Linked DNA regions of Arabidopsis thaliana. The protein of the gene in region 1 interacts with the protein of each later gene in a biochemical or structural test. Each region holds a gene or a part of one and is shown in the gene's direction. Other genes may lie near its edges.

Region 1 (6,755 bases):
AATGTCAACATTAAGAAAATAAATAAGAGTATCACCAAATGCCAAAACCGAAAAAGAAAAGTATCCTCTAATTGTGGTCAATAAAGCCTTATTCTTTTACAGAAAAAAACAAAAATACAGGTTTTACCTTTAAAAATTTCATTTTTACTATAAATTACCCGAATATTAGCATATGTGTTGAGTCATGAGTGATATGGAAACATAAACTAACCTAAAGTTTATGAAATGTAAAATTTATAAATAGAAGCATATGGTTTTTACGATATATTGATGACTTTTGGCATATTCCGTTTTATGTATAGAAAGATTTTTGAATGCAACCAGCACCGTCCATGTTGTCTAACTGCTTCTCAAGACTTGGTCTCAAAGATACACAGCTGTTCTCTTCCATATCTTTTTCTGATTTATGGTTAACTCTTCCAAGATATTTTCTTCCTCAAGTGGGATATCTTTATTTTATCCATGGAGGAGAATAAAAGTCAGATAAACACATTGATAATATTACTAAAAGAACAAATTAAATAGCAAAAGGGAGGGAAATTGCTCAACTGGGAAATAAGAAGACTTTTTTTTTTTGTTTGGTGTAAGGAATACAAAGAAGACTTGGGAAAGCAGTGGGAAGATGGTTGGTTATTCATTTTTATAATATAGGAGATACTATTTCTGATGTCACTTTTGTTTATAAGTAAAATTATAAAATGCATACGATTCGAAGCCTACAACGTGTGACAAATGAAAATTGGTGCATATATTTTGTTTTGTTTTCAAGAAGATAATTACGAATGCCAATTTTGTAGAAGAAGATATTTTGAAGTTTTGATGTTCAGTCAAATGAAATTTATTTGGGCCTACACAACGGGTTGGAAAAGGGGTCTTGATCTGAAATCTTAATTTGAAAATGGGCCTTATTCTGGAAACTCAAATCCAAAAGGGCCGCGATGAAACCTACATAGTATATACATTACATATATAGATAATTGGATATATGGAAATGATTTCCTAAATTCCTAATAGTTCAGAACCGTTGATTTAGAAAAAATTAAGAACATGTACGGCCTTAAATAGGACGGTCTATTACAAATTTATACCGTATATGTGAATTTTCCCTTTTCTAAAATTATGTTAATGTTAAATTTTACTTTCTTTTTTTTTTCCGTTTTTTTCTCTTACGTCCTATATGAACATTGAACGGGTAGTGCCTGAATAAAAAACTTTAAAGAGCACATTCAAATTTGATAAGTCGTCATTCTATATTTTTCTCTGTAATTTCTCGTATAAAAAAATATGACTAGCGCAGATAATGAGATTTTGAGGTTGAGGCACGAAAGGTTGATGAAGATGTCGGAGAAATTGTTGTACATGATGGATTATGCTGACTCACAAGTGGAAAGGTTCAAGTCGATATTGACATCGCGTGACGATCCACTGGCTTCGTTTTGTGCGGTGGTCGTTTGTCTTGTCGTTTGCTTGGTTCCATTACAGATTTGGTTTTAAGTTTTGAATGCCCAGTTGGCCTATTTCCCAGTTTCTTCGCAGTGACATACCAAGTCGAATCTACAACTTCTTCAAAAGTTTGCCGCTGACCAAGGCAGAGCTAGACTTTCCAAGTGAAATCAACAACTTCTTCACAATGCCTCCGACCATCGAAGAGCACATGTCCTGACAGATTTTGCAACGACGGCTGTTGTGTTTGTGTTTTTTTGTCTAAAGATTTATTTTGACGTCTCATATTTATCTATTGGGCCTTTGTTTTTAAAAGCCCATTAATAATAATAACTTGCTACGAGTAGCGATTTGTTTTAAAACGTAACGATAAGAGTTAATTAATTAATGAATACGCTAATTCAATATGATCTAAACATTTATTTCAATTCCAAATCTCTTCTCTCTGACCGGGAAAAGAACACGAAATTCATTTCTGCTTATTGTTTATCTGCGCTCAATTCCGACGAAGATTCATTGTCTCTTTGATAGACAAGTGATCTGTGTTTTTGTGGGGTTTTTGAGCCTTTGAGGCTGCAGTAGGTGTTGAGATAGAGCTATGTGGAGTTCAATTGAGAATATGAAGGCGAACTTGCACAAGATCGTTCTCGATGTGCATGAAGACGACGAAGAAGAAGACGATCTCCACAAATATGGTTCCGCCAATGGCGTATCGAACTCTGATCGGAGGAATTCCAGTGGTTTTAGGTCCGTTTCGAGGTATTCGATCTCCAATGGAATTGAATCGCCTGCTCATCATGAGGTATTTGGTCTGAATTGGATAAATTTATTGCTAGATTTAAAGATTAAGCATCTGAATTTCACTGGAAATGTTACTCAAAATCTGTGATGTAGTTGGTCTAGTGTTAAGTTTGTTTTTATGATTCAATTTTGTGTCACATTTTAGATTGAGCGGTATAAGGCAGAGATTAAGAAGCTTCAGGAATCAGAATCAGATATCAAAGCCTTATCTGTAAATTATGCAGCTCTCTTAAGAGAGAAAGAGGTTAGTTTCTGACACACAATCTTCAAGCCATTAACTGTTTTTCTCTCTTTTTCTTACATCAAAGACCCTATGGGATTATTACAGGATCAGATTTCCAGATTGAATCAGGAGAATGGCTCTTTGAAACAAAATCTGACCTCAACTAGTGCCGCTCTTAAAGAGGCTAGAACCGACATTTCCAGGGGATCAAACAACTATGCTATCAAGGTAGACACTTCATATCTTTGTTTCATCTCTATGCGATTCTTTGCGCATACTGTGTGTGAAGGATCACGAGGATCATGCAACTACTTAAGAGTTGTAATGTGTGAAGCATGTTTTGGCATGGAACGCATTATTGATAGGATTGGTTATATGCTAAGTTTATTAGTGGGATTTACTAGGATAGAAAGCGTATTATGAGATCATATATTAGATCAAGAAAGTTTTGTCAACATCACTATTTTGATAAGTATGTCACATTTGTTTATGTGTTTATTTTGCTGAGAGATGCGTTCTTAAGTGAAGGTCTTAAACTATTCAATTAATTTGTTATTTATCTTCTCCAGGGAAACAATGATCAGTCACCCAATAGGCTACACAAATCTGTTTCGCATTTAAAAAGTCCAAACCATATGTCCAATGGAAAAGGGAAGGATACCGATTCGTTTATAAAGGAAAAGGTAACGCTAATGTTTATTTACCATTAGCTTAACATAAAAGCTTTGGGGTCTTGAAAATTGGTTGTCAGTAGGATACATACTTCTGAGATTCTGAATTTCTTTAGATACATCTTCTAATACATAAGTAATTGCTCTGCAATATTCTTGTTTGGTAAATACCAAATTATAAGCGATAAACTGGATGTCCTTTTAGGACCTTGCAGATATGCTAGAAGATAGAACCAAATCAATGGCAGCTGTTCAAGCTACGGAGCTTGCCAAAGAGCGTGAAAAATTAAGAGATTTTCAGCTATCTCTACAGGGTATATAATATCACTTGTAGCTTGGTGCTTCTTTTGTATCCATGTTAGCTAGTATTCTCACTTACCTTACTTCCATCAGAGGAGCGGAAAAGGAGTGAATCTTTCAAGGAAGAACTCGAGTCTATGAGGTTAGATAAAAACAAAGTAAGTCTTGGAGTTAGAAAAGACACATTTATTATTTTCTTAGGAATCACCATCTCTAAGTTACAATTTTCTTATTTTCTGTATTGAATCTGTTTGCAGACCTCCATGGAGATTAGCAAAATGCGTAGTGAATTGGATGCAAAATTACTTGAAATCAAACACCTGCAGATGAAGTTGACTGGTCAGGAAAGCCATGCTATTGGACCTGGCATGGAACATCTGAAAGAAGTTAACAAAGCTCTGGAGAAGGAAAACAACGAGCTTAAGGTTTATTGTGTTCCATACTGCTGAATGGTTGTGCAAGCAAAAATTGCCAACATTGTGTATGTCTACGTTGACTTTTGGAATCTGGAACCGAATCTGATATGCTTTTTCATCACTTCATAGTTGAAACGAAGTGAGCTAGAAGCTGCTTTAGAAGAAAGCAGGAAGCTAACCAATAGCAAAGTCTTCCCGGACGCCACAGAGTCTCTGACTAGGCATCCTAGTACTTTGGACAAGGTTCTTAAACTAGAAGGAACTTAATTATAAACGCATTTTGCATTGCTTTTCATTAAATGTGGAGCTACCTTTTTCCTTCCTTCTTATGCCGTTTCCATATTTTACTAGGAGAAGCCTGAAAGCTTTCCTGGAAAAGAAGAAATGGAGCAATCCCTGCAGAGGTTGGAAATGGATTTGAAGGAAACACAAAGAGAAAGAGATAAGGCACGGCAAGAATTAAAACGACTCAAACAGCACTTGCTAGAAAAGGTTAGCAGCTGTCGTAAAAGCTAATATTTTACTGAATCTATTAGTGTGGGACATGGTTACATTTGTTGTAGTATTATAGCTTTTGGATCATTATTTTGCAAATTATTTCGTTTTCTAGCTTCTAAGATTGTTATGAATTCAGCCGAGACAATATTTTCTTGATAATTTTCTGTGAAGATGATTGAAAAGTGTGTTCTTTGCCATAATTTCACAGGAAACAGAGGAGTCTGAGAAAATGGATGAAGATAGCCGACTGATTGAAGAACTCCGCCAGACTAATGAATATCAAAGGTCTCAGATATCACACTTGGAGAAAAGTCTTAAGCAGGCCATCTCGAATCAGGAGGATAACAGATTGAGCAATGACAACCAAATCCGAAAATTAAAGGACACAGTTGATGACCTAAATCAAAAACTTACAAATTGTTTGAGAACAATCGAGTCCAAGAATGTTGAACTTTTAAATCTTCAAACTGCTCTAGGCCAGTATTACGCTGAAATCGAAGCTAAGGTTGGAATTAGGAAATTCAAAAATCTTTCCTTTTCTATTCTTACTCTCAATTTATCAATGCGTTCGTATTCATTTTGTAGGAGCATTTTGAACGAGAGCTTGCGATGGCTAAAGACGAGTTGATGAAGCTTTCTGCTCGTTTGAAAGTAGGAATATAACTATCTTTTCCCTTTATAAACTACAACCTGCCATAACGATATCTGTCTGATGCTATTTTGCGGTTGCTGAAGGATTCTGATGAGCGGTTAGAGTCATCAAATAAAGAAAAGGAAGATGTCACATCCAAATTATTGCATGCGGAAAAAGTTGCAGCGGAATGGAAAAACAGAGTAACCAAGGTTGAAGAAGACAATGCAAAAGTACGACGTGTTCTTGAGCAGAGCATGACAAGGCTCAATAGAATGTCAATGGAGTCTGATTATCTTGTTGATAGGTACACCAATTAACACTTGGACATATATAGTTTCGATTCTCCTGTCTGAATTAGGTGTTCTGATGCAATGATGAACCAACATGTGTCTTTGCAGGCGAATCGTTATTAAATTGCTGGTTACATACTTCCAGAAGAATCATAACAAAGAGGTAATAGACATTGATATTATTCTGAAATCCAGTTTGTGACATACACATATGAGAAATGTCTCTGATATACTTCGGTTGTTTCATGCTTTCGCCTAGGTTTTGGACCTCATGGTTCGGATGCTAGGATTTTCAGAGGAAGATAAAGAGCGGATTGGAGCGGCAAAACAAGGAGGAGGTAAAGGAGTTGTTAGAGGCGTATTGGGCTTTCCGGGCCGCTTTGTCGGAGGAATTTTGGGTGGGAAATCTGCAGAGTTACATGCTAATGCAGCTTCTGATAACCAGGTAAAAGTCCTCCATAACATAATAAAGTACACTGATACACAGGCAAGTTTTGTTTTTTTTTGTCGGCTACACAGGCAAGTTTCACACTAAGAGAGATATTATTGTGTGTTTTTTTGGAATTTGTATTACAGTCTTTTGCGGATCTATGGGTCGATTTCTTACTCAAAGACGCGGAAGAGCGAGAGAGAAGAGAAGCAGAAGAAGCAGCAGCGAGTAAAGCCAAGCAAGATTCGGAGAGGACGAGACAAGAGGCGGCTTTGCATGATTCAGAGTTCTCTACTGTGCCTCTCAGATCATCTGAGAGTAATCAACGACTCTCGAGATAACTTCCTTAAAAGATGGTACATAGATAAACATTATACATACTTACATTTAAAATAGGAATTTGAACCTCTATTGAGTCTTTTGTTGTAATTATGATCTCACACCTTTGTTTGTTCGTCAATTTTTCTTTTGTTGATGTATGCTGCTGACTTTTTGATGGAAATTTTGATTGAAAGATTAAAATACAAAGTTACATCAGCTGGTACTGTGATTTTCTTTGTGAAAGGTTTTACCATTACATGAGCTAACGACTAATTGCATCTTTTACCAAAATTTGATTAACACAGCATTCACAGAAACCATTTTAAATCATTTCCCACGAAAAAGGTATTAGTCAAAATTAGAGAAGGGAAAACACAGAGTAACATTTTTTTTCTGAAGTAACAAATAAAAATGCCCCAAGACACAAAGCAAAACGTCAAGGGGAAAGATAATAAAGAGAGGGAGGTTGCTTCACTCTAAAGTTTTTAACCCAACTTTGCCTTAAGGGAAGCAACAGGAAGCTTAGAAAGAACCTTCTCATCAAACACCATGTAATGTTTCTTCAGCTCCTTCAACGTCTTCTCTGCCACTGGATCTACCTTGTCCTCATGTTTCTCATACAACATTGGTACTGTATGTAACACCACAAAACCTGTTTTTTTTTGTTTCCCACACACATGGAGATAATTTCAGACTCAAACAAACAAAAAGACGAAACTAAAACCTTT
Region 2 (7,621 bases), on another chromosome or scaffold:
ATCATGGTACATAAATTTTAAAAAGAATCAATTTGTTAAGAATGGTATACCAACGAATAACAATAATTCAATCATATGTTAGGAATCATTTATATGTTTACCTATATATTATTTTGAAGATTTTCACTCAATGCAAAGATGAACCTCAAAATTACTTTTATCAATGACACATTTTTAAAGAGAAAATATATAAAGATATGAAAGTAGTCACTAGGGACTATGTAATCAATTGTGCTATTTACTGTTTAAACACACTAAAATATATAGTTTTAATGTAATTAAGTAATCCTACAACTTTCATGTGAAAATTCCTAGTCAAATATTTCACGTAGTGAGTTATTTAAAGTAAAACAGAATAATAGGTATGCTTATACGGGTCGAGTTGCTTTATTATGAATATGATTATATGAATCAAAGGATATGAATTTATATTTATCAAGTTACCACGTTACGACCAAATTTGGGTTATGGGTTTCAAATCTTGAACGGTTCATGGTATTCCGCCGCTTTTGTCCTATCAAGTATGGACACATTTTTCAAAAGTACGCTGGTGCCGAAGTAGTTTGTTGTGGCCTTGGTTAACTGTACCATTAATGCGTGTTTATAAACTACATGCTAACTCTAATAACTTCTCATACATTCACATCAAAGGACGATGAGCCTCATATACATACATAGTGATCAGAGCCATCCTCTAAGCAAAAAGACTATCCTTTTTAAAAAAGAGAATCATATTAAGGGCAAAAATTAACTTTCAAAAATAATTGGCCAAGAAGCGATGACTAATGTTTTTGCCAAAAATAAAACAAAATCTCAAATCTCAAAGCCTGTTTCATATCTCTTTTAAGAAGAGAGAAAGAAACTTAGGATTCCAGAACTAAACGTCGAAAGTTCTTAGATATCTTATTTCAAAGGGTTCTCCTCTGTCAGAAATTCTAGAATAACAGATTATTTCATCTTAGGTGGACTGTCATTTCTTCTAACTAGGCTAGTAGCAAATCATTATGCCCAATTTAAAGCTAACTCGCTCTCCATCTCCATTCGATTAGATTAGTAGTTAACTTTAAACCACCAAAAAATTTTATACATTTATTTGTTAGAGAATATTTGGAAGAATTGGGTGGTCTCGCTTTGTGCCGCTTTCTTAGCTCAAGGATTTTTGGATTCTATCTACATGAACTTCGTTATCAATTTTGATGCTTGATATTTTTGCCTAGAGTGTTTCAGTTTTTTTGTTTTTCTTTTCTTTTTCTAGCAGAATTGTCACATGTTATATTCATATTTTGAGTATTTTCTAAGAAACAATTAGGATGCTACATAGACATATTTTTGAAAAGAATTAAGAAAAAGTAATAGGTTTTGGAATTTTGCAAAACAAGCGAGAAGATGCTACACTTGATTGTTTTCAACAAAAATACCCTCAGAAATAATGGATGAGATTCACATGATAGCACTAAATCGCTACAAAATCTCTTCACTAGTGTCTCCTCCATAGTCAAATCCGAGCTCCAGATAAAAACATTACAGATTCATATGACAATATTAATTTTGTCACTCATATGAATTTGGTTAAATATATAATCTAATTTGAAAATACAAAAATCATGATTCATGATGCACCTTTCAATTCACATAATGTTGAAATACAGAAAAAATAATTACTCTCTCATTTCTTTATAATATAAGTTTTAGAAAGAAACCAAAAATTGTCTCATAAAGATAAATGTAGATTTTTTTTTAATTTTATCTCCTATTAACTAGGGTTGAATTAATAAAACAACTAATGAATATTTATTAAACACGAATATATTTGTAGTAGTAAAAAAATTCTTAATATGTATGCAAAGTCTAAAAACATACAAGTTCACTAATCTCTACTAAATTAACAGCTAAACCCAATAAATCCGTTAATTATGGCTAGTTTAGTGAATTTTTCTCAAAGAAAAGCTCTTTTTTCAAAGTTAAGGAGACTAGAGAGCAAGTCATTTGCTTGTGGTTGGAAACAAAAACCCAAAGCGACGACACAATTAAAAAAAAATATAAAGAGGAGAGGAGAAAAAGAGGCAAGCCATAGCCAAAGGGTTCGTGTCGGCTTCAACCAAACACTGACGGTGTGTGTATACACCTTTACATACACACCTTTATCTCTCTCTCTCTCACATCTTTGTTACAAATCAATCTTCTACTGTTTTCTTTTTCCTCTTCTTACATTATTTTTTGACAGCAATTCTTAGTTTCTCTTCTATCCCCTTTCTGGGTTTTGTTTGAACCCTAGCTCGCTTTGGATCCAGTGGTTTTAAGTTAAAGGTTCGATTTTTATTTCTGGGTTTTGCTTGTTTTGCTTGGTTCTGCTTAGTAAATGTTGGAAAAGGAGGAGACTTTAGAGGATCTGTAGTCAGATTTGAGCTGGGTTTGTCGATTTTACTAGGATTTTGATTTTGGGGATAATCTAGATCAGGAATCGTTACTTTGTTTCATATCCAAAATTCAACTCTTTTTCTCGTTCCTGATCTAAAAATCGTTCCTTTTCAAGCTTTCTAAATGAGGTTTCTCTTTGGTGGTTCTGAAATTTTGTCTGTAGCTGTTGTGTTCTTCTCTTAGATTTGATTCTGTATGATAATTTTAGGTTCTGAGTTTGAAGTCTTGTCATTGTAGAGATGGTTTTAGTAACAGTTTTGGTGTTGCTTTGTGTGAAGTTATTAAGGACTAAAATCTGTTCATTTTTGGTATGTTATTGAGCAGGTTCTTGTCTTGCTTTTGCTTTATTTGTTCTTTCTTTTTACCTCTTTGTTTGAGTGATTATTGGATTTTCTCTTCAAATTGGGTAATAAAATTTTGAGAATCTGAGTCTTGTGATGTGCTTTAGACACAATGTAGAACAAAGCAGTTACATAAATGGCCCACATTTTTGTCAGTAAATTTATGAATGGGGTTTTAAATGTTTCTACATAATAACATCTATCAGAGTTTTGTTTGTCTAAATTAGAGGAGGATAGGTCCATCTTCTTCTTTTCTCTTTCAGAATAACATTTCAATCTTATAGTTTTCTCTTCTTTTGTTTTGTTGCCCAGGTAAATTTATCGAAAGTAAGTAGATTCCTAATGGCAGCTTCCAATCATTCATCTGGTAAACCTGGAGGTTCGTGGAATATTTCTTGTTTTTATACCATTCTTTGCTATTTTCTACTGGGAATCCACTTTCTAAGCTTGTTTGGGGATTCTGCATAACTTGAAATGGATGATTAAGAACTGGATAAGGGTTTTAAAGCCTTGGAGATTGCAACCATTGCTTTGTTTTTGAGATATATTGTTGCGTCACATAACCCATATCTGTTTCTTTGTAGGAGTTTTAAGTGATGCTTTATGTAGGGAGCTCTGGCATGCCTGTGCTGGACCTCTTGTAACCCTACCTCGTGAAGGGGAACGAGTTTATTATTTCCCTGAAGGCCACATGGAGCAGGTTGGTTATTGGGTTGAATCATTTAACATTATCATTTGCTAAAGCCGGTTATGTTAATTGGACTGTTATTACTGTGTCAACTGTCGCTTCAAAATACCTTGTTGGTGCTTTCTAGTTTAAAAGTAAAATCACAAAACATGTATTGTTGTATAGAACGGATAAATGCACTACCTGTTTTGATTTCACATGATTATTGTTTCTTTCATCTTATCTGATTATCACATTTATGCATTTAATTGGTCACTTCCTGTGCAGCTCGAGGCATCAATGCACCAAGGTTTGGAGCAACAGATGCCTTCCTTCAACCTCCCATCTAAGATCCTCTGTAAAGTTATCAACATCCAGCGCAGGGTAGGCTAAATTCCATGATATATGATAAAAGTTTCTTACCTTTTCTTCATGAAATGGGTTGGCTAAAGAATATTATACCTTGTTGTGCTTCACTTTGCAAGCTCAGGCAGAGCCCGAGACTGACGAAGTATATGCGCAAATAACCTTATTGCCAGAACTGGATGTAAGTAAATTTTGATGGTTTGGTGTTTCACAAAAAACGGTTCGGTAATTTTTTTTCCTGTACTTGATTTTGGTGAAACTATTGTGTTTGGTTATCAGCAAAGCGAACCCACTAGCCCAGATGCCCCTGTTCAAGAACCTGAAAAGTGCACCGTACATTCATTTTGCAAGACACTAACTGCTTCAGACACAAGCACACATGGTGGCTTCTCGGTGCTACGGAGACATGCAGATGATTGTCTCCCACCCTTGGTCAGACTTGCTTCCGGTGTTCTGGTTGCTTTTTGGAAACATCTCCACTGCTATTTTGTGTAACAGTTTGCTTTCTCTTTTCTAGGATATGTCCCAACAACCACCGTGGCAAGAATTGGTTGCAACTGATTTGCACAATAGTGAATGGCATTTTAGGCACATTTTCCGAGGTTAATACACTTGGTATCTTATTATGAGATGGTCTTTAAACTGTGGTTCCTTTACCCCAATGCTACTGCTACTGGGAACCTTTAAAGCTTTACATAATTTTGCATTAATATTATTGTTTCACGTTTGTTTTAATCATAAGGTTGTGACTACAGGCCAACCAAGGCGTCATTTGCTAACAACTGGATGGAGTGTTTTTGTTAGCTCGAAGAAACTAGTGGCTGGTGATGCTTTCATATTCTTAAGGCAAGCTCCTCATTTCATTCGTCTGGATATTATTTTTGCCACATACGGCTGGACATGTGACATAGTATTATCTTTCAGGGGTGAGAATGAAGAGCTCCGAGTAGGTGTTAGGCGGCACATGAGACAACAGACTAATATCCCGTCATCTGTCATTTCAAGTCATAGCATGCATATTGGGGTCCTTGCAACAGCAGCTCATGCCATTACAACAGGAACAATCTTTTCTGTCTTCTACAAGCCAAGGTCTCATCAAATGGTCCAAAACACATCAGTTGCTGCATCAGACTTTCAGCTCCATTTAGAAACTGAAAATTTTGCTATGTTAGATTTATTTAGCCGGTCTGGGACGGACACACCAGCCATTTTTTAATAAATATGCATCTTATTCCATTGAGTTACTGTTGCCTGCATATGCTTGATGATAATCATTTTGCTGCAAATCCAGGCTGACATATCTTCTATTATCAGGACAAGTAGGTCAGAGTTTATTGTGAGCGTCAATAGGTATCTCGAAGCTAAGACCCAGAAGCTGTCTGTAGGCATGCGTTTCAAGATGAGATTCGAGGGGGAAGAAGCTCCCGAGAAAAGGTATCAAAACTAACTATATTGTTTTCTTTTTGCTGATAAAGCTGAATATAACTTCTAGTCTTTTTTTTTGTGTGCGTTTTAACTATGCAGGTTCAGTGGCACAATAGTTGGTGTTCAGGAAAATAAGTCTTCGGTCTGGCATGATTCTGAATGGAGATCGCTAAAGGTTAGAATATTCTACTGTTATACTTTGCAGTGGAGCAAGTTGTGGATTTGTATTTTCTTAGTTGAATGAATAGAGTGATGCATCTTAATATGCTTATTGGCAATCTGATCATGCTTCAGGTTCAATGGGACGAACCCTCATCTGTATTTCGTCCTGAAAGAGTTTCACCTTGGGAACTTGAGCCCCTAGTTGCAAATAGTACTCCGTCTTCACAACCTCAGCCTCCGCAAAGGAACAAACGACCAAGACCTCCTGGTTTACCTTCACCAGCCACTGGTCCATCTGGTCCTGGTATTCTGTGTTCTTTTCTCTTTGAACTGTTCTTCTTTGTGGCGGCTCTTGCTCTTTTTATTGATGCTCTCTTCAGTTACTCCAGATGGTGTGTGGAAATCCCCGGCAGACACTCCTTCCTCAGTGCCATTATTCTCTCCTCCTGCCAAAGCTGCTACGTTTGGTCATGGTGGGAACAAATCATTTGGAGTATCTATTGGATCAGCCTTTTGGCCCACCAATGCAGATAGTGCAGCTGAATCCTTTGCTTCAGCGTTTAACAATGAATCTACTGAAAAGAAACAAACTAATGGAAATGTCTGTAGGCTTTTTGGGTTTGAGCTAGTTGAAAATGTTAATGTGGATGAATGTTTCTCTGCTGCCTCTGTGTCTGGTGCTGTCGCTGTAGATCAACCTGTCCCATCCAACGAGTTTGACTCTGGCCAGCAATCTGAGCCATTAAACATCAACCAATCTGATATTCCTTCGGGGAGTGGTGACCCTGAGAAATCCTCTTTGAGGTCTCCTCAAGAATCACAAAGTAGACAGATACGTAGCTGCACAAAGGTGTGACTATTAGCCTCTTGTATCGCTCGCTCTTTCTTTGAAGATCAATTTTTTTTGTCACAACTCCAATATTGGTCTTAAATTGGTGGACCGTGTCTGCGGCTTGCTTTTGACTAAAACGCAATGTTTTTGGCAATTTGATTTAGGTGCACATGCAAGGCAGTGCAGTAGGCAGAGCTATTGATTTGACAAGGTCAGAGTGTTATGAAGATCTGTTCAAGAAGCTGGAAGAGATGTTTGATATCAAGGGTGAACTCTTAGAATCTACCAAAAAATGGCAAGTCGTTTACACCGATGATGAAGATGACATGATGATGGTTGGTGATGATCCATGGAAGTAAGTGCATTTGCTGTCTAATACTCTAAATTTTGTTTGGTGTCAACAAATAAAGCAGTGGTTAAAATTGCAAAGCATCATCTGCTGTAATGTGTCCTTTTGCTTTACCGTTGATGATCATTTTGGTCTTCTCTTTTGTGCTGCAGTGAGTTCTGTGGAATGGTGAGGAAGATATTCATCTACACACCTGAGGAAGTGAAGAAACTTTCACCGAAGAACAAACTCGCAGTCAATGCAAGGATGCAGCTCAAAGCTGATGCAGAGGAAAATGGGAATACAGAGGGCAGATCATCATCTATGGCGGGATCAAGATGAGTATATCACTGTGTTATGTTTTAAATGTACTTGCCACGTAGGAAATATGAAAGCAGAAGCAAGAGATCGTTAGACAATATGAAAGTTGAGATGTCTGTGTATAGCAATGAAGTTTTATGTCTTCAAGTCTTATGAATTCACTTAGATGCAATGTGTTTTGAGGAGTTGTGTAGCTTTTGTACGGGAAATATGGAAATTAAGTTTCACGTCTTGTTCTACCTTGAACAATGGTCATGGTCAAAAATAAAATTATGATAAATCTCCTCTTGCTTTATAGTTCTTAGTACACATTATAAGACTTTAAGAATAAATGATGGTACAAACAAAATTCGTTGCTTTTGTTATAATCTTGTTGCCAGGATGAAATAAGCACGACATCACAAGTAGAGAGACGCCGCGAATACAATGTCTCTTTTGATCTTGGAAACAGCTTCTTCTAGTTTAGCTTCAAGCTGTGTTTCTCCTATAGATTTTGCAGCTACTATGAGCTGTTGCAGAACTTCCTCCATTCTCCTTATCGCTCTGATCAAGCTCCCTTCGAAAACACGAGCAATCTCCATGACCTCATAGAATTTGGACCCTTTTGCCCAAGCATACACCGCCTCCATTATATCAGGTCTGAAAGACTGCACAAAACTCTCCACGTCTATTTCGACCTGTCAATGTCATAAAAGACAGAAAGTTATGGACCAAAGCCTCTTCAAATGGTCAAATTCACTTTTAGCTGAGCAGAGAGAATA

The links. Proteins that work in one complex are often made in the same cells at the same time.
Region 2: the proteins of GDAP1 (region 1) and ARF1 form a complex in vitro, tested with the Arabidopsis thaliana proteins (one study listed by BioGRID).

Annotation. Positions count from the first base shown.
Region 1 is NC_003074.8:22,778,929-22,785,683, reverse strand, and holds GDAP1 (GRIP-related ARF-binding domain-containing protein 1), read left to right. Parts: upstream 1-1,745; 5' UTR 1,746-2,041; coding exon 2,042-2,245; intron 2,246-2,389; coding exon 2,390-2,488; intron 2,489-2,572; coding exon 2,573-2,695; intron 2,696-3,036; coding exon 3,037-3,150; intron 3,151-3,343; coding exon 3,344-3,452; intron 3,453-3,531; coding exon 3,532-3,596; intron 3,597-3,695; coding exon 3,696-3,863; intron 3,864-3,983; coding exon 3,984-4,097; intron 4,098-4,205; coding exon 4,206-4,346; intron 4,347-4,560; coding exon 4,561-4,857; intron 4,858-4,937; coding exon 4,938-5,003; intron 5,004-5,087; coding exon 5,088-5,290; intron 5,291-5,384; coding exon 5,385-5,439; intron 5,440-5,492; exon of another isoform or gene 5,493-5,500; intron 5,501-5,535; coding exon 5,536-5,721; coding exon of another isoform or gene 5,722-5,811; intron 5,812-5,852; coding exon 5,853-6,047; 3' UTR 6,048-6,243; downstream 6,244-6,755. Other genes in the region: AT3G61571 (uncharacterized protein), read left to right, coding at 1,502-1,663; AT3G61560 (Reticulon family protein), read right to left, coding at 6,513-6,679. UniProt on the Arabidopsis thaliana protein: Golgi matrix protein playing a role in tethering of vesicles to Golgi membranes and in maintaining the overall structure of the Golgi apparatus.
Region 2 is NC_003070.9:21,977,313-21,984,933, forward strand, and holds ARF1 (auxin response factor 1), read left to right. Parts: upstream 1-2,026; 5' UTR 2,027-2,111; exon of another isoform or gene 2,112-2,307; intron 2,308-3,071; 5' UTR 3,072-3,101; coding exon 3,102-3,138; intron 3,139-3,343; coding exon 3,344-3,459; intron 3,460-3,714; coding exon 3,715-3,810; intron 3,811-3,916; coding exon 3,917-3,973; intron 3,974-4,071; coding exon 4,072-4,224; intron 4,225-4,309; coding exon 4,310-4,394; intron 4,395-4,547; coding exon 4,548-4,638; intron 4,639-4,716; coding exon 4,717-4,881; intron 4,882-5,106; coding exon 5,107-5,226; intron 5,227-5,316; coding exon 5,317-5,392; intron 5,393-5,511; coding exon 5,512-5,683; intron 5,684-5,759; coding exon 5,760-6,229; intron 6,230-6,375; coding exon 6,376-6,566; intron 6,567-6,712; coding exon 6,713-6,881; 3' UTR 6,882-7,121; downstream 7,122-7,621. Other genes in the region: MTR4 (RNA helicase, ATP-dependent, SK12/DOB1 protein), read right to left, coding at 7,259-7,537. UniProt on the Arabidopsis thaliana protein: Auxin response factors (ARFs) are transcriptional factors that bind specifically to the DNA sequence 5'-TGTCTC-3' found in the auxin-responsive promoter elements (AuxREs). Seems to act as transcriptional repressor.